7 linked regions of the Callithrix jacchus genome follow. The protein of the gene in region 3 interacts with the protein of the main gene of each other region in a biochemical or structural test. Links are inferred from orthologs where the notes say so. Each region holds a gene or a part of one and is shown on either strand. Other genes may lie near its edges.

Region 1 (4,135 bases), on a different chromosome or scaffold from region 3:
GACCCAGTCTTTGATCAGTCTCCTCTTTTTCAGGGGCTTAGAGAACTACAAGGCCTGCAGAATTTCCCAGAGAAGCCTCACCATTGACTTCTTCCCCCTATCGTCAGACATTAAAGAGCCTGAATGCCTTTGAGTCACATGGCATTTCTTTTTCCCCATGAACTCTGCTGGTTGCCACAGGGGCCTGTTACTAGGGCACAAAGTTACAGAGAGACCCCTGAGGTCCATTCTCTCTGTGGAACCTCTAAAATGCCCCAGCAGTCCTGCCTCCAGCCTGTTGCCTGGCAGTATTTGCCAGCTGACCTTATGCACTGCCCTCTCTTCTGTCATCTTGGCAACCTGGGCCCCCATCTCAGCCATTCCTTTTCTTAGACACCACCCTTTGATTTGCCATAGAGAATGAGCCGATTTATGGTGGTTTGTTCATTTTCACAGCAACCAAAGGGCCCTAAGGTTTACCCTTTCACACACCCAGTCGCTCCTCAGGTGCCCTAAATTACACCCACACCCACCTCAGCCCTGCCTTGTCCTAGCCCCTGCTTCTAAGTGGTTCCAGCTTCCAACAGGCAGAGCTGAATCCCGCTCTCCCTAGTCCGACCCCTGTTTTAGGTTGAGTCCAGCCGCCGCCAATCAACGCAGACCCAGGTTCCTCCCCTTTTTAAGTTCGGCCACAGTTCAGCCCTGCCCTCTGAAGACATTTCGTTTCTGCCACTCAATACTCCGTGTGCCTGACAGCCATCCTGCCCTCCTACCTCCGTTGTGTTCTAAATTCGTCTTCTACCCAGCTCTAGGGTCCTTTCTAACCATAGAGGTACACTGTCCGCCTACGCACAGCCCAGCCCAGCCCGACCCACTCCTGCCGGCTGCTACGCCCATTTCTATACAAGTCCTGCTTCCGCTGGGCAGCGTGGCGTGCGGCACCGCCCCCTTGGTGTTTTGGCAGGGGTCTAGAGTCCCTCATCCGCCAATCAGAGGAAAACAGGGCCACCCACCCCCGTCCTTGGAGGCTGTCTTCCATCAATCCCATGTAAGCCAATCAGTGTGAGGCAGTCCCCTCCGCGCCCCCCCACACACCCCCCCCAGCCTTATCAGTTGCTCACAGTCCGTCAGTCCTTGAGCCAATCGCCGTGGAGCACCAGGAAGGCGGAACAAGCCTCCTCGGGACTCCAGGGGCCGTGAGCATTCCATCATTTCCCCTTAGGCCAATCACAGCACAGCTCCGTGGGGAAGGTCCAGTCCCCCAGCCCCTCTAGGCCGTGTGGCCGATTAATAGCGCTTTGGCCAATCAGCGAGCGGCGGGACACTGGACTCCTCCTCCCCGTGCCCACGTGAGCCGTAGGGAAACGCAGGGGCGGCTTCTAGGTGCTGTCGCCGCCGCCACCGCCGCCGCCGCCTCGGAACCCAGGCCTGGGGGGCGGTGGGGCCGCGTATGGAGCCCCCGCCCCCCGGAGCTACCAACATTGCCAACGCCACCGCCACGCTACACACAGGTGAGCTCTGGGCTTGGAGGGTGGAGGGCCCGGTCCGTGACCCCACGTATCCTTCCCGCCCCCGCTCAGAGGATGTGGCTTGGCCGGTGGCCTGCTGGTGTTCGACTCCCCGCCGCCACCACCACCACCACCACGGCTGGTGGACCTGCTTGTGGCATTGCCCACGCCCTTCGCCCCTTGTAGTGGATCTGACCGTGGCCTAACCTCCCCCTCCCGTTGTATAATGGATCGGTCTGCGTGCTTATATTTTTTCCCACGCCAACTTAGGATGGACTCGTCCATAGGCTTTCCCCCTACCCCCACGCACCCCCCATCCACCCACACTTATAGGGAGCCCGCCTGTGGCAGTGTTCAGTCCCCTTAATAGTAGGTGTATCTGAGTGTTTGCATTTCTCCTAGCCTCAACTTTCAGGGGAAGACCCGTCCGTGGCCTTGTTTATTCTTCCCCTCCTGTTCATTGTAGCGAATCAATTCGTGGCGCCGCACCCCTCCACACACATCCCTCTTTAACAGTGGGTCTATCAGAGTTTGTATTCCTGCCTCCTCCAGTCCCCCAATGCATCAGTCCATGGCTTTTTTCAGAAACCCGCCACACACACACACACACACACACACACACCATCACCATCACCACCACCACCACCATTTTATAGTGGATCAGTCTTCATGTTTGGATTCACATCCCCTTAGCTATCAGTCCATTGCCCTATCTGTCCTCCCTTTTTCGTAGACTGTCACTGTAGCGCTTGGGCTTCTCTCTTCTTTTTAATAGTGAGTCAGTCAAGTGCTTTATATTTCCCTATTTTCAGTAGCTCAGTCCATAGCCTTGTCCCTCTCTGCTTTGAATCAGTCTGTGTGATGGCTTTTCTCTCCCCTCACTGTGGTGTGGTGCAGGAGTCTGTAAGGTTTTCTGCTCTCCTTCCCCTCAGATGTTGAGCCTCATCCCCCCTCCATTTTCAGTGGATCTGTTCATTGGCCTTCCTCCCCCACACCCCAGTATGCTTGCACAGTCCCCCGCATACCCTCCCCTGAGTCCAGTGCTTTGTAATTGGAGGAAGGTCTGCCGTGTACTTTGAATTTCCTTCTTTTTTTTCCCTTCCCAGAGGAGAACGTGCTGATCCTCTTTTCCTTGTGGTGGAGAAATGTATGGCCTTTCTTGTCCCCCACCTCTTAATATAGTGGGTCAGCCTGATCACACTTGTAACCACAAAGACGTTCTGCCTCACTACAATAAGTAAACACATTAGCGCCAGTGATGATTGTAATGCCAATAGGAGCTAGCGTTTATTAAGCACCTGCTGGGTATCAGAGTGTGTCATATGAATGAGTTTCTTTAATCCTCACCACAACCCCATGAGGTAGGTACTGAGGGAGCCGGGCCATAGGGAGGTTAAATTCCTTACTCAGAGGTGGCCCAGGAAGTACTCAGGGCACAGGATAATTTTTGAGGCTCCCCTCTTAGACCCCATCCCACCCCACGTGAGGCCTCGGTCCTTAAAAACCAAATTGGTTCCCATCTCCAAGCTTTTGTTCTTGCTGTTCCCTCTGCCTGCAGAGCTGTCTCCATTACCCACCTTGTCTCAGCACCCACCCACCCCCCAATCCCAGCAGCTCTGTGACCTTAGATGAGTGATTTAGCCACTTCCTCTCTGCACCTTTTTCTTCATTTGTGAAATGGGGGATCAGAACTAGAATCCCCTCCAGTGTAAATAAATATTACCTGTGAAATAATGGTAAAACAAGTAACCTTTTTAGCATTACTGCCTATACCTCCCCACCCCCTGACTGTGCTCCAACCACACTGCCTCCACTGCACAGCTCCTGAAACAGCAGCCATGGACCAGCCTCAGGCCCTTTGCATTGGCTGTTCTTTGTGCCTTGTATACCACTCCCAGATCTCTGCATGATTCCTTTCAGCACTTTGTTCAAATACCAGCCACCAAAAGTTTACCACACTGTGGTGCAGGGAATGCAAATACAAAAAGATAACATGTATCAAAGATGTTTCTAAGAATGCTCGTTTGTATATGAACAAGGATTTTCCTCCTTTTCGAAAGGCTGTGTTTACAAAACTGTGAGGTATGTAATAGGCTCTGTAATGGCACGGTATAAAAGCTGTTTCTAGGAGTGCTAGTTGCATATGTGAATAAGGACTGTGTTGCATTGAAAGAATGTGTTCACAAAACTGTGGTGTGTAGCCGGGCATGGGGGTGTGCACCTGTAGTGCCAGCTACTTGGACTGTAGCTGAGGTGGAAGGATCGCTGGAGCCCAGGAGTTCGAGGCCAGCCTGGGCAAAACAAAATCACTGTGGTGTGCGTAATACACTCTCCTAAAGGCACAGGCATAAAAGATGTTTCTAAGAGTAATCACTCTTTTTGTTGCACCTGGGTAGTGTTAGTTCAGTAAAGATTGATTGTCACACCATGGTGCTTGGAAAATACTATACAAAGGCACATGTATTACAAAAACAGTTCCTAACAATGCTGCTTGTAAAAACAAAAAAAAAAATCAACCCCTCCCTTACCATCTGAAGCTGCACACCCAGGAGGGCTCAAGCCAGGTCCCTGCTTTGTCCCTTTATCACTGTGACACACTGTGTGGGTTTCTTGTTTGTGTCTGTCTCTCCGCATTAGAATGTGAGTCC
Region 2 (3,500 bases), on a different chromosome or scaffold from region 3:
ATTTTTTTATAGCGATGGGGTCTCCCTGTGTTGCCCAGGCTGGTCTCAAATTTCTGGGCTTAAGCAATCCTCCTGCCTCGGCCCCACAAAGTGTTAGGATTACAGGTGTGAGCCACCTTGTTCAGCCTAGAAGCCTTTTTAAAAAGAAACATTGGCTGGGCATGGTGTAATCCCAGCACTTTGGGAGGCCAAGGCGGGCAGATCACCTGAGGTCGGGAGTTCAAGACCAGCCTGACCAACATGGAGAAACCCTGTCTCTACTAAAAATACAAAAGTAGCTGGGTGTGGTGTCATGCGCCTGTAATCCCAGCTACTTAGGAGGCTGAGGCAGGAGAATTGCTTGAACCTGGGAGGCGGAGGTTTTGATGAGCTGAGATCGTGCCATTGCATTCCAGCCTGGGCAACAAAAGTGAAAGTTCATCTCAAAAAAAAAAAAAAAGCCTCTGGCCTGGCACAGTGGCTCACACTTGTAATCTCAGCACTTTGGGAGGCAGAGATGGACGGATTCATCACCTGAGGTCAGGGGTTTGCGATCAGCCTGGCCAACATGGCTAACTTCGTTTCTACTAGAGATACAAAAATTAGTTGGGCCTGGTGGCGTGCACTTGTAGTCCCAGCTACTTGGGATGCTGAGGCCAGATAATCTCTTGAACCTGGGTAGGAGAGGGAGAGGTTGCAGTGAGCTGTGATCATGCTACTGCACTCCAGCCTGGACGACAGAGTGAGACTTCGTCTCAAAAAAAACAAAATAGAATGAACAACAACAAAAAATGAGGCCTTAGCTAAGCGCAGTGGCTCACGCCTGTAATCCCAGCTGTTTGGGAGGCCCAGGTGGGCAGCTCACAAGATCAGGAGATCGAGACCATCCTGGCTAACATGGTGAAACCCCATCTCTACTAAAAATAAAAAAATTAGCCGGCGTGGTGGCCCACGCCTATAGTCCTAGCTACTTGGGAGGCTGAGGCAGGAGAATCACTTGAACCCAGGAGGCAATGTTGCAGTAAGCTGAGATTGTGCCACTGCACTTCAGCTTGGGTGACAGAGAGAGACTCAGTCTCAAAAGCAAAAAAAAGGAAGCCTTTTTCAAAAATAAAAGTTTGGTCACACCTGTAATCCCAGCACTTTGGGAGGCTGAGGCGGGCGGATCACAAGGTCAGGGGTTCGAGACCAGCCTGACCAACATGGTGAAACCCAGTCTCTACTTAAAAATACAAAAATTGGCTGAGTTTGGTGGCACGCCTGTAATCCCAGCTACTTGGGAGGCTGAGGCAGGAGAATTGCTTGAACCCGGGAGGGGGAGTTTGCAGTGAGCCAAGAGGGCACCATTGCACTCTAGCCTGGGTGACAAAGTGAGACTCTGTCTCAAAAAAAAAAAAGTTTGAGTAAGTTTGGTGTAGGTTGGGTAATTGCTGTTGATACTTTGTGGTTCTTTAGTTTCTGTCTTTAGAATGAATGATGAATAGTTGTATTCTTACTTTTAGGGGTTCAGGGGATCCTGGCAAAAAGAAACAGCATATTTGCCACATCCAAGGCTGTGGGAAAGTATATGGCAAGACCTCACACCTGCGGGCACACTTGCGCTGGCATACTGGCGAGAGACCATTTATGTGTACCTGGTCATACTGTGGGAAACGCTTTACCCGTTCGGATGAGCTACAGAGGCACAAACGTACACACACAGGTGAGCAAGAGCCTGTGGGAGAGAAAAATAGTAATAGATCAGAATGAAAAACACAAAATACACTTACAAAATAACTAAAATTTCTTAGCAACTTAATTTGAAACTGAATTATATGGGTCACAAATGGAATTGGAGTTAATCTGGAAAACTTTTAAGAAGGAAGGAGGGCCAGGTGCAGTGGCTCACGCCTGTAATCCCAAGACTTTGGGAGGCCCAGGCGGGTGGATCTCTTAAGGTCAGGAGTTTGATACCAGCCTGGCCAACATGGGGACACCCTATCTCTACTAAAAATACAAAATAGCCAGGCTTGGTGGCGGGCATCTGTAATCCCAGCTACTTGGGAAGCTGAGGCAGGGGAATCAGAAGGCTTAGTTGCAGTGAGCTGAGATTGCCCCACTGCACTCCCACCTGGGTGACAGAGCAAGACTCTGTCTCAAGGAAAAAAAAGGAAGGAGCTAGGTTTTGAGTGGGATTTTGAAGGCGAAGTATTGAAACCATTACTCTTAGTCTCTGCCTTGCCTTACTTTTCTGCTAAGTTCCACCGTCCTTACTGAGTACTCCCTAACCTTTATCTACTTTTCTTCCCTGTCCCCCCAACCAAAAGGAAAAGATACTTCAAGATTTTTCTTGTTTTTAATAATCTTGTCATACTGGCCTTATTCAGCCTAGTAGAGTTTGAAAGCAGTGAATTAGGTAAGGTAATCTCACTTCCTAACATGTCAGCTTCTTTTCTTCCTTTACCTAGGTGAGAAGAAATTTGCCTGCCCTGAGTGTCCTAAGCGCTTCATGAGGAGTGACCATCTGTCAAAACATATCAAGACCCACCAGAATAAGAAGGGAGGCCCAGGTGTAGCCCTGAGTGTGGGCACTTTGCCCCTGGACAGTGGGGCAGGTTCAGAAGGCAGCGGCTCTGCCACTCCTTCAGCCCTTATTACCACCAATATGGTAGCCATGGAGGCCATCTGTCCAGAGGGCATTGCCCGTCTTGCCAACAGTGGCATCAACGTCATGCAGGTGGCGGATCTGCAGTCCATTAATATCAGTGGCAATGGCTTCTGAGATCAGGCACCTGGGGCCAGAGACATATGGGCCATACCCATCAACCCTGGGATGCAAGGTAGCATGGGTCCAAGAGACATGTGGGAAGAGAGAGCCATGAAGCATTAAAATGCATGGTGGTGGGAAGAATTGGGAGAGGGATACAAGAGAAGAGATGGGGTCCTGGCACCCATCTATATCATCAGTGCCTCTTTGAAGGTGGGAAACATTAGTGAAAATTCTGTTGGTGCCACCCTTTGATGAGCATTTGTTTTACCCCAGTTTCTTCTTAAACTTCTTACTCCAGCCTACCCTTCCTGCATTTCTCTTCTCAGCTCTTCCATGATGGATCACCCCCCTGCCCCATTTCCTAAAGCCATCATGCCTTGATAAATATATATGATCATTGAAATACTTTTTAACAAAAAACAGATTCTATATTATTATATATATATAAATATATATATAAAGATATATAGAGATGCATTCACAGGGGTTGGCTGGGAGGAGGAAGAAGACCATTCTGTGACCAAAATACCTTGGTCATTTTTTTTATATTGCCTTATTTCCCTATGGCTGAGCCTTGTTGTGACACATCAGCTTTTCTGTAGATGTTGCCTTGGCTTCTCACCAAATTAAGCATTCATATGCTCTGCTTTTAGTTTATATATACATACATAATGTTTTTCCTTTCATAATTTTGTCTTTATTTGGGATCAGCTTCTTGCACTCCTTTCCTGACTCATCTGTTGCCATCTCACATTCTCATATCTGATCACTT
Region 3 (3,928 bases):
ATAGTCTGAGATGGACAGGTGTGATCCCAGAGCTTTGGGAGGCCAAGGTGGGAGGATTCCTTGAAGTCAGAGTTTCAGACCAGCCTGGGCAACATAGCAAGACCCAGTCTCTACCCACCAAAAAAACATATTTTCTTTTCTTTTTTTTTGAGATGGAATCGCCTTGCTTTGTCACCCAGGCTGGAGTGCAGTGGGCGATCTTGGCTCACTGCTGCAACCTCTGCCTCCTGGGTTCAAGCAATTCTCCTGCCTCCACCTACTGAGTAGCTGGGATTACAGGCGCCCACCATCAGGCCCCAATAATTTTTGTATGTTTAGTAGACACGGGTTTCACCACGTTGGCCAGGCCGGTCTGAAACTCCTGACCTCAAGTTATCCGCCCAACTCGGCCTCTCAAAGTGCTGGGATTATAGGCGTGAGCTACCGTGCCGGAACCCCCCAAAATTTTTTAATTAGCAGGGCATGGTGTTGTCCACTCGTAGTCCCGGCTCTTCGGGAGGCTGAGGTTGAAGGATCGCTTGACCCCAATCACTCGAGGCTGCAGTGAGCTATGATTGCACCACTACACTCCAGCCTGGACGACAGAGCGAGACCCTGTCTCTAAAAGAAAAAAACAGTATAGGATTTTGAGAGGCATGGAATTATAAAGAGCCTCTGTGTCAAAAGACATCATTTTGAGTCTCACGTCTGTCATTACTAGGGACCTTACCCAAGTTAGTTAACCCAACTCACAGATTGCCGATCTGTAAAATTTGATTCATTTATTCGAACATTTTTTTGATCTAGGGTGATCCCGGGCCCAGGTTCTGGTGGGCTCCCGCACACATTGGCTGGCTGGCTCTGGGAGGTCACGCGCTGGCCGCTTCATCATCGAGGAGAGGGTGAAGACGATCTCCGAGGCCGCGCTGCTGAGCCTTCCCGTGGCCTGGAGGCCACGGAACCAGCAGGGATCCAAGGCCCGCGCACCTAGGGCTGGAAGGGCAGGCGCGCGCAGGGCGGCTCACGTGACAGCCCCGGGCCCGCCTGGGGTCGGGGGCGCGCGGGGGCGGGGCGGGGGCGGGGCCTGGCGCGCGCGGCCCCGCGGGTGACAGGCGGGCGGGAAGGGGCGGGGCCTCGGGCGGGGCCGCTGAGGGGAGGAGGGCGGCGGGAGGGGAGGAGTGGAGATGGCGGCGGCGGCGGCGGCGGCGGCTCAGGGGGGCGGGGGCGGGGAGCCCCGGAGAGCCGAGGGGGTCGGCCCGGGGGTCCCGGGGGAAGTGGAAATGGTGAAGGGGCAGCCGTTCGACGTGGGCCCGCGCTACACGCAGCTGCAGTACATCGGCGAGGGCGCTTACGGCATGGTCAGGTGAGGGGGCGTTCCGGGGGAGGGGGCGCCCTCGGGGGAGGGGGCTTCGCGGGAGAGGAGGGGGAGGCGCCGAGCGCTTTCCAGGACGTGGAGACGCGGAGCGTCCCGAGGAGGCCGGGGACTCGGGATGATCGGGAGCGTCCCAGGGAGGGGTCCCTGAATGCTTTCTGGGGGAGGGGTCGCTGCTACGTCCTCAGAGGAGGGGGCTTGGAGCTTTGAGTCCAGCACTCCGTAATGACGGGAGGGGCATCTGAGTGCATGTGGGGGACTGCCGGGACCCTAGAGACACGGGGCAAGGCCCAGAGGATGAGTACTCTCGGGGAGGCGACATCCTTAGTGAAGGGGCAGTGGAGGGTCGTTCTGGGGGAAAGGGTGTCTTGGATTCCCTGTGAGGCAGTGCTTGGAAGCCTGGGGGAGAAGAACAGAGATCAGGGTGTGGCAGGGCTTTGGCCCTCCCTTCCCACCACCACCAGGGGCTCAGTGAGGGATGAAGGGGCCAGGAGTGCCACCTGCATGTTTTGGGAGGGGTCTGTGAGTGCCCCCCGCCCCTCCATGTGCTCTGGGACAGCCTGGCTGCCTGGGCCCCTCACTCTGGGACCCTCCCCTGCCCTGTCCATTCCCTGGCTGCTGCTTTCCCACTGTGTTTGCCCCATGGTGTGGTCCCAGCATCTGCACCCCTGGACCTGTCTTGGGTTAAGGAGCCTTTCCTGGGAAGTGGGGTGAAGGGTTCAGGGCCACTAGAATGAAAGGGGATTGAGGAGAGGGGAAGTCAGTGAGTGGTCAGTCTCTTCCTCTGTTTGTAAAGTCACCGCAGGGGCGCCTGGCTGGTCCCCAGCTTTCTCTCTAGAGATCCCAGGCCTCCACAGCAGGAAGGAACCAGCATTGTTTATGAATTGGCCAGAGCCAGCTCCTGCTCCCTCCCCTCCCTGCCAAGGCCTGGGTGGGGCCACCAGGCCTGGACTCCCACTTTGTAAGGCCACAGCAGCAGCCTCTCTCTGGTCCCCTCAGCTCGGCCTATGACCACGTGCGCAAGACTCGAGTGGCCATCAAGAAGATCAGCCCCTTCGAGCATCAGACCTACTGCCAGCGCACGCTCCGGGAGATCCAGATCCTGCTGCGCTTTCGCCATGAGAATGTCATCGGCATCCGAGACATTCTTCGGGCGTCCACCCTGGAAGCCATGAGGGATGTGTATCCTTCACCTTGGCCTTCATGGCCTCCGAGCTGGGCTGGGGAACCATCACTTGCTTTCTGTTTCCATCTTCCCCACCATCCTCCAAAAAAAACCCAGTAAAATAAACTTTCCTGCAGAGGAGAGGCCACAGTGTAACAGGACTTGGAGGCCTCTGATGAATCCAGGCCTGTGGCAGCCGGGCAGTATGGCCTTGAGCAAGTCGGTTCTCTGCTCTGTGCCCCAGGGGGAGAGCTGGGCAGGATGGTCTCTATGGGAGTGTTGTCTTCTGACATCTGCAGTTCTGAGACATGACCCGGCCACAGCCCACAGTCACTTCTTGATAACAAATGGACGATTCTTTTCTCTCTTTTCTCTTTCCCCAGACTGGAAGGGAGACAGGGAGAAAGAAAGCTGTCAGCCGGGTGCAGTGGCTCACGCCTGTAATTCCAGCACTTTGGGAGGCCAAGGCAGGTGGATTACTTGAGGTCAGGAGTTGGAGACCAGCCTGGCCAACATGGTAACATTGTAAAACCCCATCTCTACTAAAAATACAGAAAAAAAAAATATATATAGCCGGGCCAGCTACTCTGGAGGCAGGGGTAGGAGAATCACTTGAACCCAGGAGGTGGACAGTGAGCCAAGATCATGGCATTACATCCCAGACTGGGTGACAGAGCAAGACTCTGTCTCAAAAAAAACAAAAAAACTACCTTTCTTGAGGGCCTATTGTGGGTCAGGTACTATATATGCCCAGTGCTTTATTTATTTATTTTGCTATTACACCTTCCAGCTATCCTATGAGATGGGTTTTTCAGCTCCATTTTTTTTTTTTTTTTTTTTTTGAGACGGAGTTTCACTCTTGTTACCCAGGTTGGAGTGCAATGGCACGATCTCAGCTCACCGCAACCTCTGCCTCCTGGGTTCAAGCAATTCTCCTGCCTCAGCCTCCCGAGTAGCTGGGACTACGGGTGCGCACCACCATGCCCAGCTAATTTTTGTATTTTTAGTAGAGACGGGGTTTCAACATGTTGACCAGGATGGTCTCAATCTCTTGACCTTGTGATCCACCCGCCTTGGCCTCCCAAAGTGCTGGGATTACAGGCATGAGCCACTGCATCCGGCCTTCAGCTCCATTTCAAAGATGAGGGGTGGAGAGCAATGGCTCACGTCTGTAGTCCCAACACTTTGGGAGGCCAAGACTGGAAGATTGCTGGAGACCAGGAGTTCAAGACCAGCCTGGGCAGCATAGTGAGACCCCATCTCTACAGAAAATTTAAAAATTAACCAGGTTTGGTGGTGCACAATTGTAGTCCCAGCTACTTGGGAGGCTGAGGCAGGAGAATGGCTTGAGCTCAGGAGTTAGAGGCTGCAGTGGGCTGTGATTGTGCTACTGTACTCCAGCCTGGGGGACA
Region 4 (4,038 bases), on a different chromosome or scaffold from region 3:
CTGTCCTGAGCACAGGAGCCAACCCCTTTCCCAGCCCTAATCCGCCTCCTCCTCAGGGAAACCCACCCACTCCAGAGAGGAGCACAGGCTGCAGGAAAGAAGGCACCAGGGTCTGCTGGCCATGAAGGGACTCAGAAAAGAGCCAGCCCCTGTCCCCACTGCCAAGAGCAAGCGCAGGTGCTGGGAGGCCTCCTGAGTTTCAGAGGGTTATTGCTGTCCTTCATATCCAGCCCTCCCCAGGGGGCCAGCAGAAAGCCAGCCCCTCCCGATCACCCCCTCCAGCGTGCCTACCCCTGTGCCTATGGTACCTCATTTCTTTTTTGCTGTCACCATTTGACAGCTGAATCAGGGAAGTGGGAGGAAGAAAGAGGACGTGGATTGTGCGTGTTGGGGGCCGGGAAGGGAAGGGTGTTTGAAATATTACAAGGTAAAAGGAGGCGTGCAGCAAGCGTGAACCAGCTGGGCTGCTGGCCCACAAGGAGCCTGCCAAGGCCAGGCAGGGGCAGGGGGCAGAGGAGTCTTGCACTTGGGGGCCACCCCTCAGGTCCCAGGCACCCCAGCAGCGAAGAGGACATGGGAGTCCCCTGCTGTGAGGGCCAGAGACTGTCTGCTGTCTGTAAGTCTTCCAAGCAGATGTCAGGGTTCTGGGAGGAGGCCCGCAGGGGATTGGGGGCCCAGGGGAAGCCCCTCAGATTCCCTCCTACAAGTGGACTCTGCTATCTGCCTACGGAGAGCCCGGCTGTGGCACAGGGCATGGAGACGACCTTTTTGGCCTGGCCGGGGCCTTTCCTTCCCATTGTGAGGCATGGATTCTTGCCTCCTCCTTTTCCCCACCCCAAGTCTGTGTCACATCTGCTCTGGGAAGATGTGGTCTGTGCTTGGCCATGAATTCCCAAGGCTTGAAGCAGCAAGGGCTTCGAGGGAGAGGGCTGTGGGGCAGAGGCAGAGAAGCAGAAAAAGCCTCTGGCCAAGGTCAAGACCCAGAGGAGAAACACAGCAGGACGGGAGAGGGTCTGGAAGCCGGGGGAAGCAGGATGGTAGAAAGGCCTAGCCCCTCACCCATTCCCAGGAAACAGGGCCTTGGGATCCATAAGGGCAGAGGCAGGAGGCACCCGACCCCTGGTGGCAGCAGCAGCAGGCACAGGAGGGCAGCATGCAGCTGGGGTATGCGTGGGTGGCAGCAAGGAGGGGCGGAGGGAGGAAGCTGGCTTCCTGAAGCCTTCTCAGCCCTCAAAGACAGACTGACAGACAGACAGACAGCTGGCAAGAGGCAGCCTGGGGGCCACAGCTGCTTCAGTAAGTATCTGAAGGGGGACCGGGAGTCCTGTGGCCCTGGGGGTTGCGAACTCCAGGGATATAAGGGGGCATCTGCAGGAGGGAGTATGGGAGGGCGAGTGGGGTGCTACAGGGCCTGGCTGGGGAATGGGTGCTCACAGCCCTGATGTCCCCCAGAAGGGGGTAAGCACGGAAGCCACAGGGAGCTGCAAAGAGAGCGGAGGCTGAAGACCCCCTTTCTGCTGCCAGAGACCCTCTTTCTACCACCCACACCTGCGCCGGACCCTCCCTGTCCCCTTACCTCCATCCCTGCCTTGCTGACTAATCACCCCCACCACCTTGCCCGCTGTGACCCTGGCTCTGGGAGATACAGACTGTCCCCAAGAGGAGATGGTCCCACCATCTGCATGCCCCCTGTCTTGCCCCCAGCTGTCGCCTCACCATGCACTGTCGCTCAAGGGCTTGGTGAGGCCATTTCCTGTGACGGTTACAGAGGCGGGAGGCGGGGGATGGGCAGGAGGAGGAAGGAAACACCCCCAGCCTACCTCCCTGGACAGACACCCCAGAAGCCAGAAACGGACTTAAGAGTGGAACATCAGCAGTTAGGAGAGGACCCTGCCGGGGTCCTAGAGCTGGCCTGCCTGGCTGCCCACCCATCTCCAGCACTGCTGCAGCTGCCATTCCCTGTTGAGGAGAAAGCCCACTGGTTAGCTCCGAGATGGCTTCTGCATGCTTTCTCCCTTCCGTCCTAGAGAACACATGTCTTCCATTTCCTCCCTTGCCTTCTCCACTTGGACCCGCAGAGCCCTGTGTGGCCTCTCTCTTCTCTCTCCTCCTCCTTTTGGCTTCTTTCCTATCTTCATCCACAATCTCTACCTTTATCTTGCCGTTACTCTAACCCCAGACTGCCTTCTGCCCTGGGTCCCACCAAAGAGATCCTGTCCTTCCTGTAGTGAACATGAGGCTACCTCTTGGGAAACAGGAGATGCCCCAGTGAAAACGGAGCGCAAAGCCGGCCTGGGCGTGGAAGCCTCCTTCTGGCCAATCAGGCAGGCCAGGGAACAGCAGCGGAGGGCCCTGTCTTTCAGGCAGACCTCATGGCTGAGTGAGCCTCTCCTGGGCCCAGCACCCCACCCCAGCATGGTCCAGGCCTGTGGAGGGAGCTCCACAGCCCAGCCACCGACCATTTCTTTGGGGGCAGCCATGACCCAGCCTCTGCCTGCCAAAACGCCAGCCAAGAAGCATGTGCGGCTACAGGAGAGGTAAGATCTCCCCTGGGGGAGGGGTCTTCCCGGCCCTGAGCCCCATTCCCTTCCTCCCTTTCCTCCACCTGCCCCTCCAGCTCTGACAACATAGTCCAATTGTTGACTCCAGTATGCAAAGGAAACCAGTAGTGCTCATTTGCATGTGTTTTGCATGTCTGGAGCACAGAGTTTCTTAACAACCCTGAGCCTGATCCCTAAATTCCAGGCCAGGCCAGTGGCCTTCTTGGTGCTGGATGCACGTCAGAGCCACAGGGCCTGGCTGGGAGTGGGAAGAGGCAGGCAGCTGGAAGGAGCAGTTGAGTTCAAGGCTGCCCTGTCTGGCTGACACAGGGCTGAGCCCGGCATGGTAGCTCATGCCCAAAATCTCAGCACTTTGAGAGGCTGAGGTGGAAGGATCTCTTGAGTCCAGGAATTGGAGACCAGCCTGGGCTAGGAAGGGGCGGGGGGGAATGTATACAGCAGGGGCCTGAACCCTAAATTCACTGGGCCTCCAGGTTAAAGTAAAGACAAGAAGCGGCCCCCTCAGAGGTGCCTCATAACAGTAATACTTGTAAGAAAAGCAAGTATGGTCAGGCACAGTGGCTCATGCCTGTAACCAGCACTTTGGGAAGCCAAGGCAGAAGGATCACTTGAGCCCAGGAGTTCAAAACCAAAAAAAAAAAAAAAAAAAAAAATTATTTTAAATTAGCCAGGCACAGTAGCATGTGCCTGTGGTCCCAGCTACTCCGGAGGCTGAGGTGGGAGGATCGCTTCAGTTCAGGAGTTTGAGGCTGCTATGAGCCATAATAGTGCCATCACCTTCCAGCCTGGGCAACAGAGAGAGACCCTATACCTAAAAGAAAAGATAAAAAGCAAAACAAATACGATTGGGTGCTCACTAGGCAGTGTGGACTGTGCCTGCAGGCGGGGCTCCAATGTGGCTCTGATGCTGGATGTCCGGTCCCTGGGGGCTGTAGAACCCATCTGCTCCGTGAACACTCCCCGGGAGGTCACCCTACACTTTCTGCGCACTGCTGGACACCCCCTTACCCGCTGGGCCCTTCAGTGCCAGCCACCCAGCCCCAAGCAGCTGGAAGAAGAATTCTTGGTAAGAAATTGAGGTCCCTTCTGAATTGCTCTGCTCTGTGTCAGAGGCAGCCAGCTGGAACCATTCTCTCACAGGGACCGTCGGCCTGTCTCCTCTTTGGACCCTTAGGAAAGAGAACTCTAGGGCTGGGGGAGGGGGCTCCACCTGGGCTTCGCCTTCTGCAGCCACCCCATCTAGGCCTACATATTAATATCAAGAAGGAACAGCCAGAGCCCAGTTGTTCTAGAAAAGAATAGAAGAGGAGAAAAGGCGGCTAGGAAGGGGAGTCAGCTGCTCACTCATTTCTTCCCCCTGCCAGAAGATCCCTTCAAACTTTGTCAGCCCCGAAGACCTGGACATCCCTGGCCATGCCTCCAAGGACCGATACAAGACCATCTTGCCAAGTAAGATCTGCAGCTAGGATGAAGGGAG
Region 5 (3,500 bases), on a different chromosome or scaffold from region 3:
CTAGAACAGAACCCACCTACACTTACTGCTCAGTTAATAAGCGTCATATAAATGAACGAATACACTTTAAAAGACAACAAGAGAAAGAACAGGAAGGAAGAACAGGAACAGAAAAGAGAAAGAAAGTGGGAAAGAGGGAGGAGGGGAAGCAGCACTTGAGAGAATGGCGGAGAAAGGATTCCACGCGGACCCCGTGTTAGTCCCACACTTTATTACGCTGAATCATGAGCTAAGATGTTTCCTGAAACGTCTCATATTCATGCATACTTGACTTGCGTTTTCTGACATAAGGAATTTGCCAGACGACGGCAGTCATGTAGAAATGTACACGGGCCAGGACTCACAGCCAATTAATTGTTTATTCTCTGTGCCAGCAGGAGACAGATGACACTGAAGAATGAAATTCATTTCTGGCCCAGAAATCTCACTTTAGCTACCGCTTTATCTGCTCTTAATTTTCTAGGCGTGGACTTTGGGGCGCACGCAGAATCCTCCCTGAATGTGGAGCGCTGGGGACCGCACACAGGCCGTTCCGCCCCGCAGCTAATGAGAAACCCCCTGCAATCCTCTCTGCATCTCTCCTTTTTGGGTCCTACTAATGTTTCTTGAATTTTTCTTTTTTCCAAGCAAAACCCTTCTCTGCCTTTCATCTGCTTGGCTGTCCCCAGCGCTGCAGGACCCTATCCTGTCTGGAGTTGCAGAAAGCCCCACTTTCTCTTTCTAAACTGTGTGTGTGTGTCCTGGAACGTTCTAGGTTGCCCAAAGATAAACGTGACTAAGGATTTGAAAGGAGGAAAGGCCAGGCAGATTCTTAATCTGAAAGTCAGTCCCCAGATTTAGTTCTCAAAAACCATTTCTGGAGAAAAGCCATAGAGTGAGACAGAATGACGGAGCATGTGCTGGGGAAGTGGCGTTCTGCCATGTGGCTGGGACCACCAGCCTGGCCTCCCACGCCCCCTGCCATCAGGGTGCCCGCGACCCTGGAAACCTCCAGGACGCAAAGGCAAGGCTGGCTGTCCCCGCATGCGTGTGCTTAGACCTTCTTGCCACACACCCTCTGTCCCTCACGTCACGGGGTAGCCCCTAAATCAGCCGTTCACACAGAAGCAGCTGCCTGGGTTCTGAGTGACCGTGCTTGCTCCTAAGCACAGGTTAAATGAAAACTGGAAGTACTTGTACAGCGGGAGGCACCCAGTAGAGGTTCTGGGCGCCAGCCTACTGCTCTGGAAGCCTCGAGCCCTCTGAATTAGAGGGGGGCTAGGTTGGTCAGGGTCCTCCCTGTCCTAACACATTTTAATGACGTGGAAACAGGCTGCAGGCAGGTGCAGGGGAGATGGTTTGGTTCGGCTTCCACAAAGTCTTCAGGGCTCTAGGACAGGCTCCCACATCTTGTTGGCAAAACGCAGAGTGAGTCTGGGACCCTGACCATTGAGTAGATTCACAAGGCCCCCTGAGATCCCACCCTGAAAAGCCAACAGCACGGTCAGCCTTCCCACAGACAGTGCAGCCACCGAGGGAGGACACGTCACCCCAGTGGCTAACATCCCGCGCTCCCAGACCCCACAGCAAGCGGTGGACTTCCCACTTGAGAAGACAGCACAGTAGGAAGGGGCTAGTCCCAGAGCACTCACGCCCGTGTGTGTCAGGAAGCCCCTCAGTCACACGGCCCATGAGGAAGCCAGAGGGGCTGCTGGGGCTGACGAGGCCAGGGCAGGGCAGCCTGATCATCCGTAAACCACAGAGGGCACCACAGTCCAGAGCTGGCAGCCCCCACCTGGGGAGTGACATCGCCATGCATTCTTCATCGTGTTCTCACACAACTTCATTGTACAGATGAGGAAACTGAAGCTCAGAGAGGTTCCTGCCCCTGCCCAAGGTCACACAGCTGGAGGAGCTAGAAAGGTGCTAGGAGACTGGGAGGCTGGGGAGCTGAGACGCTGCACCCTCATCCCCATGCCCCGCGCCGGCCAGGCCTGCCTCCTCCCTCTGTCTTGCCTCCTCCCTCTGTCCCGCTCAGCAGCTCCAGGCTCCCGTCAGGGGCCTTGCTCCCAGTGCAAGCCACGGCCCAGGGAGGCTGATTCCTGCTCACGCCTGGGAGAAAGCTCAGGATTTTGTCTCTAAACTCTAGAAAAGATACGAGCCTCCACATTTTACTAAGGCCAGGGATTCCTGATCCCCCAGATAATCGATCCTAGAACTGCAGGGTCCATGTGACCAGAATCCAGTCTGTGCAAATCTTATCAGCGAGGAGCCCTGAGGAAAGGCCCTGGGCCCTCCAGGGGCCTCCGGGACGGGCCCCACACCCGGCACAGCCCCCAGGTGGGAGTCCTCCAAACACGGGTAGGCAGGAGCCTCCTTACCTTGATTTGCTTCATGTTTGCTAATCTTCTCTTGACCACCCCACAGCGCAAAGGTAAGCCACTGTTCCCTGAACGATGTAGATCCTTAACTATGTGTGTGGGAGCCACGTGAGAGAGCCACGTGAGAGAGCCACGAGAGCCTCTACCCAAGCCACAGCCCTCCTCTCTCTGCGGCTAACACCCTGGTAGGTCCGGGGAGCCGCCTCTCCCGCCCCGCCCCCCAGCTCAGGGCTGGCCTGTGGCTCCTGAACCACTCACCAGCCCAGTCCGGGGCCTGGGCCCTTCCCCGGGCCCCTGGTGGCAGCTCTCAGTGGCTCAAGCAGACTGCCTTGCACCTGGGGTAGAGGCTGAGCTCTGTGGTCTTTCTTTGCAGGGGGCCGAAGGGCAGAGACCAGGATTTGGCTACGGAGGCAGAGCGTCCGACTATAAATCGGCTCACAAGGGATTCAAGGGAGTCGATGCCCAGGGCACGCTTTCCAAAATTTTTAAGCTGGTAAGATACCCTCTGCTCAGCGTCACTGAGCAGGGACTGAGGGGGTCCCAGCAACGAACGCCAGCTGAGCTGAGCACAAGGGTGGTGGCTGCTTCTGACTCAGCCGCGCTGCACCATGCCCTGGGCATACTCTGTCCCAGCAGGCATGCCAGGGCGCAGGTGGCAGTGCCCATCTGCATTTGCACGCAGGTTTTCCCCGAGATGCATGTGGAGCTGCAGGTGCTTGAGGAAGGGCTGCACCTGGGCCGGTTCAGGAGCCGGAGCAGGCGGCTGACGTTGACTCTGGGACAGGGCTGGGGCCCAGGTGGACTGCAGTTTGCGTTGCCCAGGGCTTGGGCCCTCAGGAGCAAGCAGGAGCCAAGCAGACGTGGGTGTCAGGGGAGATCCCTAGAGCCACGGGAGGGGACGCCAAAGAGACAGCAGGGAGTGGAGAGTGTCCCATCGGCTTATGAGGACCTGGAGCCACCATACCCAGGACGAAGGCCAGGTCTGCTGTTAGCCACCTCTGAGACTCGGTCCTCTCATCTGTAAAATGGAGGTAACACGCCCACTCAGCTCACAGAATCACTGGGAAAGTAAAAGGTGGTGACAAACACGGGTTCCTTAGATAAGCAGTCACCATTATTATTGTTAAGCATCACCCAGAA
Region 6 (4,256 bases), on a different chromosome or scaffold from region 3:
CATTTGAGCAGGCGGAAAGCACACAGGCTAAGCGAGACAAATGCAGAAGTTGCCTGTGGTGATACAACTCGCACAGCGACGACAGAGGGTGGCCGGCGAATTCCCCTCCCCCAGGAGGGGAGGAAACCGCAGAATGTTCCTGACTCGGCACCCGGGCGGGTGGCGCAATGTTTATGTTTGTGTACCTAGCGCGTCGCGTCGCTGCAGCAGGCCCCGCTGTCCAGGGGGCCGTCACTGGGACTCAGGGCACGGATATTGCTGTGTGGGGTCTTCCCAACCGTTGCGATCCAGGTCCTGTCTTCCGCCCAGAACGGCCCGGGATTGGAGTTTGCTTTCAGCCAGTAACGGCCGCGACGACCGGGAGCGGGGGGAGGAGGGGCGGCTTCTGTTCCGGATTGGAGCCCCCCCCCCGCCAGCTTAGTGGGCGCTCACTCAGTATACTGTATATTTGTGGAATAAAGAAAGGGATGGAGAAGCTCGGTCTTGAGCCAAGGTGACAGAAACGCGTCGGACGGCCCCTGGGGGGAGCCGTCGAGTCGCGCTGCGGGTCGCCCCTCACCCCTCAATACGCCAAAACCCGGAACCCACCGCAGGGCCTTGCGACCCCCACCGGGATTCCAGCCCCCTGACCTGCCTTCTTCGGCTCCAAGTCTTCCGGGGGCCACAAGACTAGTAATTATTTCCCGGTGGGGGTTTGCTTGCTTGCATTTTCACGGCAAACGTAGGTATTTTAAAGCCACCTTAAAGAAAGTCTGGGAAACAGGAAAGCATTGCCCTGAACCTCTCCACCCCAACTCGCTCAGGTCGCTCTTGGTAGGAACGACTTTTCTATCGGCAGAGTTGTTCATTTTTCTATAAACTTCATCTTAGGCGCCTCTTTGCTGCTCCTACCACCACCCCAGCAGTGTGGTTCTGGGCAAGTCCGTCGCTTCGCCCGGGGAACCTGTTTCCTCGCTCGTTAGTGATGAGGAAATAAGAGAAAGGGGCACAAGACTATGCAAAAGTGCAGGAAGCCCCTTTCGGCTAGGTCGGCGGCCGAGGGGCGCTGGGAAGGGGACTCGGGGAGGGAGGTGTCCGGGGAGCGGCGATGCCGAGGCAGGTGGCATGTCGCCCCCTCTCCGGGCCGCTCGCATCCCGGAGGTCAGCCTCAGCTGGCAGCAAGCTCTCCTCCGCCCCGCTGGGCCCCGAGCGCGGCGCGGACCAGGTCCCAGGGGACGCGCCAGGAGCAGGGCGGGGGCCGGGCCGCGAGCCAGTGCGCGGCGAGCGGACCCGGCTCCGAGGCTGATGACGTCTTCGCCTCTGGCTCGGCGGCGCCAGGCCGGGCAGGGCGGGTGACGTCACCACTCTATCACGTGATCACCATTCAAACAAACACCCCCTCCCCCTGCGCGCCCGCCCGGTCCGCCCCGCCCCCCGAGAGGCCGCTTATAAAGGCGCTTTCCCACTCTGGCTAGCTGTGAAGGACGTTCGGGCTGTGTGCGCGACGCTGATCGGAGGGGCAGTCGGGGCCGCTAAGAAGCCGAGGAACCCTGAGTCCTGCGTGACGCCCCTCTCAGTCCAAAAGCGGCTTTTGGTTCCGCGCAGAGAGACCCGGGGGGCGGTGTCGAGCTTTTCCTCGAAAGCCGCCGCCCTGCCCTTGGCCCCGAGGACAAAGAGCACCGCAGGGTCGAGCACACTGGGGGCGCTGAAGCCGGCCATGGTCATGGAAGTGGGCACCCTGGACGCCGGAGGCCTGCGGGCGCTGCTGGGGGAGCGCGCGGCGCAGTGCCTGCTGCTGGACTGCCGCTCCTTCTTCGCTTTCAACGCCGGCCACATCGCCGGCTCGGTCAACGTGCGCTTCAGCACCATCGTGCGGCGCCGGGCCAAGGGCGCCATGGGCCTGGAGCACATCGTGCCCAACGCCGAGCTGCGCGGCCGCCTGCTGGCCGGTGCTTACCAAGCCGTGGTGTTGCTGGACGAGCGCAGCGCCGCCTTGGACGGCGCCAAGCGCGACGGCACCCTGGCCCTGGCGGCCGGCGCGCTTTGCCGTGAGGCGCGCGCCGCGAAGGTCTTCTTCCTCAAAGGTACGCCCTCGGGGAAGCTCTGGGCGGGCCGTATACCCCTGAGGTTTTGCCCGGTACCCCTGGCCCTCGGCTCCTGGGGGCCCGCCCCGTCTGCAGCGCGTGGGCGTTGGAATACATTTATCTCTGGAACTTGTCATTGGCTTTGTTTGGCTCTGGGAACAAAGACTTGCCTGGGCCTTTCGGATGTAAACTTCCAGCCCTTGGTGGGTGGGGGAGTTTGTATGAAGGTGCCCAGTCCCGGCGACACTAATGGAAAAAAATGCCTTTGTATTCCCAGGAGGATACGAAGCGTTTTCAGCTTCCTGCCCGGAGCTGTGCAGCAAACAGTCGACCCCCATGGGGCTCAGCCTTCCCCTGAGTACTAGCGTCCCTGACAGCGCGGAATCTGGGTGCAGTTCCTGCAGTACTCCACTCTACGATCAGGTTAGTAGGCGCCCCTGCCACAGGGGAGAAGTAAGAACTGGCAAAGACATGGAAGAGCAGTGCCAGGGAGAATATAGAAAGTGACCTACAGCTTTATTTATAAGAGGGGACACAGGGATATGATTTATTCCACAGTTAAGTGGTCTGATGAAGCCGAGTCTCTAATTGTAGGCTCTACAGAAATGAACTTGCTGGTCCTGCCCAGGCAAATGGGCTTAGACCTCTATTTATTTATCCTCCAGCAAAAGAACTGAGTTCACCTGGTATCTGAAATTGACTTCTCCAGCAGGAAGTTTTTGTGGGTGTGGGCACTGGCCTTGGCTTTGAGCAAGCTGACGAAGGTTGGATATTTCTGGATTTCAGGGTGGACCGGTGGAGATCCTGCCCTTTCTGTACCTGGGCAGTGCCTACCATGCTTCCCGCAAGGACATGCTGGATGCCTTGGGCATCACTGCCTTGATCAACGTCTCAGCCAATTGTCCCAACCATTTTGAGGGTCACTACCAGTACAAGAGTATCCCTGTGGAGGACAACCACAAGGCGGACATCAGCTCCTGGTTCAATGAGGCCATTGACTTCATAGGTAAATGGAATTGATGCCTGGGGCTTTTCTGCCTCTCTCTTCTCATTTTAGCCCCTAAGCCCATCCTCTGTAGCAAGGACTTGAATGAAGTCTTCTGAGCCTTCTTCCACACATTCAGTATCTGTCTAGTGTGGGCAACATTCCTGCAAAATATGAATTTGATTTGATGTCCCACTTTACAGATTAGCAAACTGGGGCTCACAAAGTTGAATTGACTGGTCCGAGATCTATCTGCTGAGTGGAAACTCCCAGTCTGGGTTTAAATCCTGTGCCACCCTTTGCATGGCACCCACATTGCCTTGCTCCATGAGCAGTATCCATGTGATGGCATGTGGTGATAGTGACCATTTCTAGATAAGACACCCATGACTTTTCTCAGACACCCTGTACCTGGGCTTGGGGTGGTTCTCCTGAGCTCTCAAGTAACTAGCTGCTCCTTTTGTTTTCCAGACTCCGTCAAGAATGCTGGAGGAAGGGTGTTTGTCCATTGCCAGGCAGGTATTTCCCGATCAGCCACCATCTGCCTCGCTTACCTCATGAGGACTAACCGAGTCAAGCTGGATGAGGCCTTTGAGTTTGTGAAGCAGAGGCGAAGCATCATCTCCCCCAACTTCAGCTTCATGGGCCAGCTGCTGCAGTTTGAGTCCCAGGTGCTGGCCCCACACTGCTCGGCAGAGGCTGGGAGCCCTGCCATGGCTGTGCTGGACCGAGGCACCTCCACCACCACCGTCTTCAACTTCCCTGTCTCCATCCCTGTCCACTCCACGAACAGTGCGCTGAGCTACCTGCAGAGCCCCATCACGACCTCTCCCAGCTGCTGAAAGGCCACGGGAGGTGAGGCTCTTCACATCCCACCGGGACTCCAGGCTCCTTCTTGAGAGGAGAAATGCAATAACTCTGGGAGGGGCTCGAGAGAGCTGGTCCTTATTTATTTAATTTCACTCGAGTTCTCCTGGGTTCCTAACCAGTCGTCCTGATGACTTAGCGTCAAGACATTTGCTGAACTCAGCATTCGGGACCAATATGTAGTGGGTACATCAAGTCCCTCTGACAAAATGGGGCAGAAGAGAAAGGACTCAGTGTGTGAGCCAGTTTCTTTTTGCTTGCCCCGGTTTTTGTAGAATCTCTTCATGCTTGACATACCTACCAGTATTATCATTCCCGACAACACATACACATATGAGAAT
Region 7 (3,928 bases), on a different chromosome or scaffold from region 3:
TATGGAAGAGAAAGATCACTGTAATCTAGAGTTAGTTAGAGTTAGTGCTTTCTGGAAAAGTGACACCAACATTAAACCTTGTAAAACTCAAGTGTGATTGTGATGCAAGTGAAGGAAAATAAGAAGGAGGCAACAGCATCCATGAAGACACAGACGCAGAAAGGGCAGTGGCCCTGGGAAGTTAAAAGAGAGAAGTCTAGGGAGGGACTTCTTGACCAGCAGCAATTAGCCATGACTAAGGCTCTCCACACTCCGAAGACTTAGATGTGGGGATAAAAACCATCTACATTGGACAGACTGTGGTAGCCTCCCTAGAGACACAGAGCTGGGTAGAAGGAGCCCAGGCACTGAAGTGATCTATTATCTTTCACCTTAAAGGGGGAAACTCAAGAAAATTAGTTCCATGAAACTAAAAAGTGCCTTCTTTTGCTTCAATTACATGGATACATTCTACTAGTCTAGAAATACAGCCTCGCTTCTTTCTGTCACTGTGATCATATACTTTAGACTTGAGTCAGAAGAAAGTTTAAATGCAGGGATTGAGCTGGAGAGAATGGAAAGAGAAGCGAAGAAGGGGAAGCTGTAGGAAGGACGAAGACACCCCCGAGATACATGGTTTCTGCTTACACCAAGCACGCTGCCTTGGGAACGCTTCCCCCAAGCAGCAAGAAAGCTCAGCAGTGGTGGAAGACATCTCTATTCCCGTAGGCGAGCCCTGGGAAGCTGGTCAATCTGCACGTGCCAATTCCTGGCAGTGAGCTAGGTCCACGTGTAATCAAGACTTGGGTAAAGAGTAAGGTGGGTGGCACGGTTGACACTGTCATCAACTCCCTCCTCTGGCCATGCCCCCATTTACTCTCACTCTGCCACACACCACCCTCGGATTTTTGATGGACTCTGGGTCCCTAGTAACCACGGCAAGCGCCTCCCCTGCACTTCCCACTTTCCCCACCCCCTCCCACCACCACCACCCACCCCAGAGGTAGAGCCTACTCTGCTCCAAGCCACCGCTAAGACCCGGAGAAGCGGAATTTCACTTTGAAACTCCCGTGCCTAGTGAGGGCCGGCGCTGGGCATGCTCAGTAGCCGCAGCGCGTCTGGGCTGCTGCTCACGCTGCACTGGCTGCCGTGCTGCTGCGCTGCTGGGCTGGCGCGGAGTCCACCCTGCCGTCTCCGCCTTGGCTGCTGGGTCCCGGGAAGGCCAAGCATTTGCCGCCTCTGAATGCTTCTGTCCCCTTTCCCCGAAACCTCCTACTCTACTTCCTCTTCCTCTCTTCCTCTCTTAGGGAGGTTGAAGCGGGTGCTCGTTTCTATCGGCGCCACAGACTGACTGATCTGCAAACCCCATCCGAGGACCTGCGAATGAATCCCGGAGACTAGAAGACCCTTGGCGGTGTCTCTTTCTAATAGCACTTTACCTAAAGTGGGGTCGTGGTGGGGTTTCTCCTCCACCTCTCAATGCACACACTATGCGGAGAGCAGTCGGCTTCCCTGCGCTGTGCCTGCTCCTTAATCTTCATGCTGCAGGTAAGGGGTTGCCAGGCATAGAGCCGGAGCTGTGCATGAGATGGGAAACTGCACATGCTTAGGACTCCAGGAAAAGCTTGCCTTGCAAAGGAAGCCTTTCTAAGAAGGTTAAAGCAGGACAGTACCTGACAGGGAAGGGGTGAGGGAGTTGTGCACCTGTTGGAAAACTGAGGCCGAAAACTTAAGCTAAAATTTGCCCTTTACCTTATGTGATTCTTTACCTTATGTGAAAATAGTGAACATTTTCAATATGAATACAGGTTTGCTCCCCGCTTCTCCTCCCCTCCGTCTAGACTCCCTGCTTTTGTTTCTAGGCTATGCACTTAAATGTCAATTTTTCAGAAGAGGGACTAGGCATCCTGCTGGATGTAACCTTTTCTACTGCAGCGGCTACATTCATAAGGTCTCTTGGTCTAGCGAACGCTCACAGGGAGGCATTGCATGTAACCTGATGGACCACATCTCCGCCCAAAAGACCGAAATACATGGTTCACATTAGTGATGCTGCTCCAGGCTCCTTTGGCCCCTGCTCTTGTCACTCGAATTTTCTAAACCAGTAAGAGGAAGGAAAGGTTTCAAATAGAATCCTCTTGTCTCTTTCAGCACCATGGCTAGCGTCCGCTGGCACGCAACGGGGGGAAAACCGGATCACAGTTCCAAAGCTTACAACCCTGGGGTAGGCACAGTCCCTAGGACAGATTTGAAGAGGTGTAACCAAGAATAACAGTGAGACTGCTCCCAAATATAAATAGATTTGAAGCACCATAATCAATATCAAATCTCGTGTAGAAGCAAACCTTGAAAAGTACCTGAGAGATATTACATGTGGTGTCCCTGCTTTTTGAATACATAGCACCTTTATGTAATGCGGAGAGACTTGCTGGGCTGAATTCCTTATCATTGTCTCACACACACATGAACCAAAATAAAATATGGCAGAGAGATTTTAGAAACACTACTGTGACAGCAGTTGTCCATGCAGTAGTCCCGTAACAACCAGAGACTAGGCATTTTCCCTGAGTTTGCATCTCATCCAATCACACATATCCATTCATTTCTTCAACCAACATTTGCTGAGTGTATACTATGTTCTAGAAGTAATGAGTAAAAATAATTGTTCTGAAATTACAATCCTTGTGGCATCTTTTTAAAAAGAGTGGGTGAATTTTATTCTCTGTGTGCATTAGTGGGAGTGAGATATGGTACTTTCTTATTCTAGCTAATGCTATTATTTAAATGCATCATGAATATTTTGAGCAAATAATGCATAGATTATTACAGCTATTACTAAACACACACATTACTTGTTATAATTATGATATTATATTGTGGAGTTTTCAATAGTTCTTTGGTACATTTTGAAAACCAGAAAAATAGCTATGATTGGATTATTAAATTATTTGCAAACAACTGTACTTAATTATTTCATTACCACATACAATTCTTCAATGCTAAAATGTGGGATGAAAACACATACATTGGGTTGAGTTTTATTTACAGTATTGCTGAATAATAAACTGATACAAACATTCATTACAGAAAAATCTCAATTCTTACTAAGTTAGCAATAATTAGCTGGTCTGCCAACAATATCAGTGTAGTTGTTTTTCAAAACTAACATATAAAAAAGTTTAAAGATCACATTTAATACAACTTGAGTAACTATACCTTATGCATTATAAATAAAATTAAGCATGTGAAAAGCATGTCTTAATTTACTGCAGATGAATATTTGGAATGAGGAAAATAGAGGACTTTTGCTCATCGAAAGAGAAACCTAGAAGCCTGTAGCCCTAGATTATACCTGGAGCTCTGCCAAAGGGTGTATTACCAAAGCCAATCCAATCTATCTCTACTTAAACTTTTTAATTTGCAAAACAAAGATTAAAAAGTAAGATTAATCAACCAATTTTAATTTAATGAGGCAATGCATTTAAGGGCATTTTATATTTCAATTGCAAGATGCTATATAAAATTAATTGTATTTGTATTTAATATAGTGATTTATACTGGTGTTTCATCACAGCAGATTGCAAGTTTAATATTGTAGTTCTCTTGCCAGTTTCATTTTAAATGCATTTTAATTTTAAACAGCAATTTGTGGGTCACAAGCTGTCATCAGATTAAAATTTATCACAGTAATCTAATAACATTGTTAGGGCTTTTCAGAACTGAAACAAACACAGCTTCTTGGTCAAAGCTTCTATATGTTTGGATACTTAGAAAATAAGTGAGTAGGATGACAAAGATGATGAAATCACTAATATATCTACTTGTTGAACATGTGAGTTTGTTACTTTTATGGAAGACTTTTCTCTCAGAACAGAAGCAGACTTCCTAAAGAAGGGAAATGATTTCTAAACATTCAGGCCTCTTTAACTGAAAAGCTACTTGATCCATT

Evidence for each region.
Region 1: of the proteins of MAPK3 (region 3) and ELK1, one has a biochemical effect on the other in vitro, tested with the Homo sapiens proteins (6 studies listed by BioGRID and IntAct, with this or other methods). The link is inferred for Callithrix jacchus from reciprocal best matches to the Homo sapiens genes MAPK3 and ELK1.
Region 2: of the proteins of MAPK3 (region 3) and SP1, one has a biochemical effect on the other in vitro, tested with the Homo sapiens proteins (2 studies listed by BioGRID). The link is inferred for Callithrix jacchus from reciprocal best matches to the Homo sapiens genes MAPK3 and SP1.
Region 4: the proteins of MAPK3 (region 3) and PTPN7 form a complex in vitro, tested with the Homo sapiens proteins (3 studies listed by BioGRID, with this or other methods). The link is inferred for Callithrix jacchus from reciprocal best matches to the Homo sapiens genes MAPK3 and PTPN7.
Region 5: of the proteins of MAPK3 (region 3) and MBP, one has a biochemical effect on the other in vitro, tested with the Homo sapiens proteins (5 studies listed by BioGRID). The link is inferred for Callithrix jacchus from reciprocal best matches to the Homo sapiens genes MAPK3 and MBP.
Region 6: of the proteins of MAPK3 (region 3) and DUSP1, one has a biochemical effect on the other in vitro, tested with the Homo sapiens proteins (2 studies listed by BioGRID and IntAct). The link is inferred for Callithrix jacchus from reciprocal best matches to the Homo sapiens genes MAPK3 and DUSP1.
Region 7: the proteins of MAPK3 (region 3) and PTPRR form a complex in vitro, tested with the Homo sapiens proteins (2 studies listed by BioGRID). The link is inferred for Callithrix jacchus from reciprocal best matches to the Homo sapiens genes MAPK3 and PTPRR.

The regions. Positions count from the first base shown.
Region 1 is NC_133524.1:48,610,085-48,614,219, reverse strand, and holds the start of ELK1 (ETS domain-containing protein Elk-1), read left to right. Parts: upstream 1-1,335; 5' UTR 1,336-1,490; intron 1,491-4,135. Other genes in the region: protein UXT, read left to right, coding at 34-87. UniProt on the Homo sapiens protein: Transcription factor that binds to purine-rich DNA sequences. Forms a ternary complex with SRF and the ETS and SRF motifs of the serum response element (SRE) on the promoter region of immediate early genes such as FOS and IER2.
Region 2 is NC_133510.1:66,144,082-66,147,581, reverse strand, and holds part of SP1 (transcription factor Sp1), read left to right. Parts: intron 1-1,481; coding exon 1,482-1,681; intron 1,682-2,426; coding exon 2,427-2,740; 3' UTR 2,741-3,500. UniProt on the Homo sapiens protein: Transcription factor that can activate or repress transcription in response to physiological and pathological stimuli.
Region 3 is NC_133513.1:29,405,771-29,409,698, forward strand, and holds the start of MAPK3 (mitogen-activated protein kinase 3), read left to right. Parts: upstream 1-1,128; 5' UTR 1,129-1,163; coding exon 1,164-1,342; intron 1,343-2,350; coding exon 2,351-2,533; intron 2,534-3,928.
Region 4 is NC_133520.1:29,191,739-29,195,776, reverse strand, and holds the start of PTPN7 (tyrosine-protein phosphatase non-receptor type 7), read left to right. Parts: upstream 1-1,238; 5' UTR 1,239-2,004; coding exon 2,005-2,537; intron 2,538-3,443; coding exon 3,444-3,627; intron 3,628-3,925; coding exon 3,926-4,010; intron 4,011-4,038. UniProt on the Homo sapiens protein: Protein phosphatase that acts preferentially on tyrosine-phosphorylated MAPK1. Plays a role in the regulation of T and B-lymphocyte development and signal transduction.
Region 5 is NC_133514.1:119,420,668-119,424,167, reverse strand, and holds part of MBP (myelin basic protein), read left to right. Parts: intron 1-2,733; coding exon 2,734-2,853; intron 2,854-3,500. UniProt on the Homo sapiens protein: The classic group of MBP isoforms (isoform 4-isoform 14) are with PLP the most abundant protein components of the myelin membrane in the CNS. They have a role in both its formation and stabilization.
Region 6 is NC_133503.1:65,119,004-65,123,259, reverse strand, and holds the start of DUSP1 (dual specificity protein phosphatase 1), read left to right. Parts: upstream 1-1,456; 5' UTR 1,457-1,696; coding exon 1,697-2,063; intron 2,064-2,340; coding exon 2,341-2,486; intron 2,487-2,849; coding exon 2,850-3,069; intron 3,070-3,519; coding exon 3,520-3,890; 3' UTR 3,891-4,256. UniProt on the Homo sapiens protein: Dual specificity phosphatase that dephosphorylates MAP kinase MAPK1/ERK2 on both 'Thr-183' and 'Tyr-185', regulating its activity during the meiotic cell cycle.
Region 7 is NC_133510.1:73,448,541-73,452,468, reverse strand, and holds the start of PTPRR (receptor-type tyrosine-protein phosphatase R), read left to right. Parts: upstream 1-1,128; 5' UTR 1,129-1,469; coding exon 1,470-1,527; intron 1,528-3,928. UniProt on the Homo sapiens protein: Sequesters mitogen-activated protein kinases (MAPKs) such as MAPK1, MAPK3 and MAPK14 in the cytoplasm in an inactive form.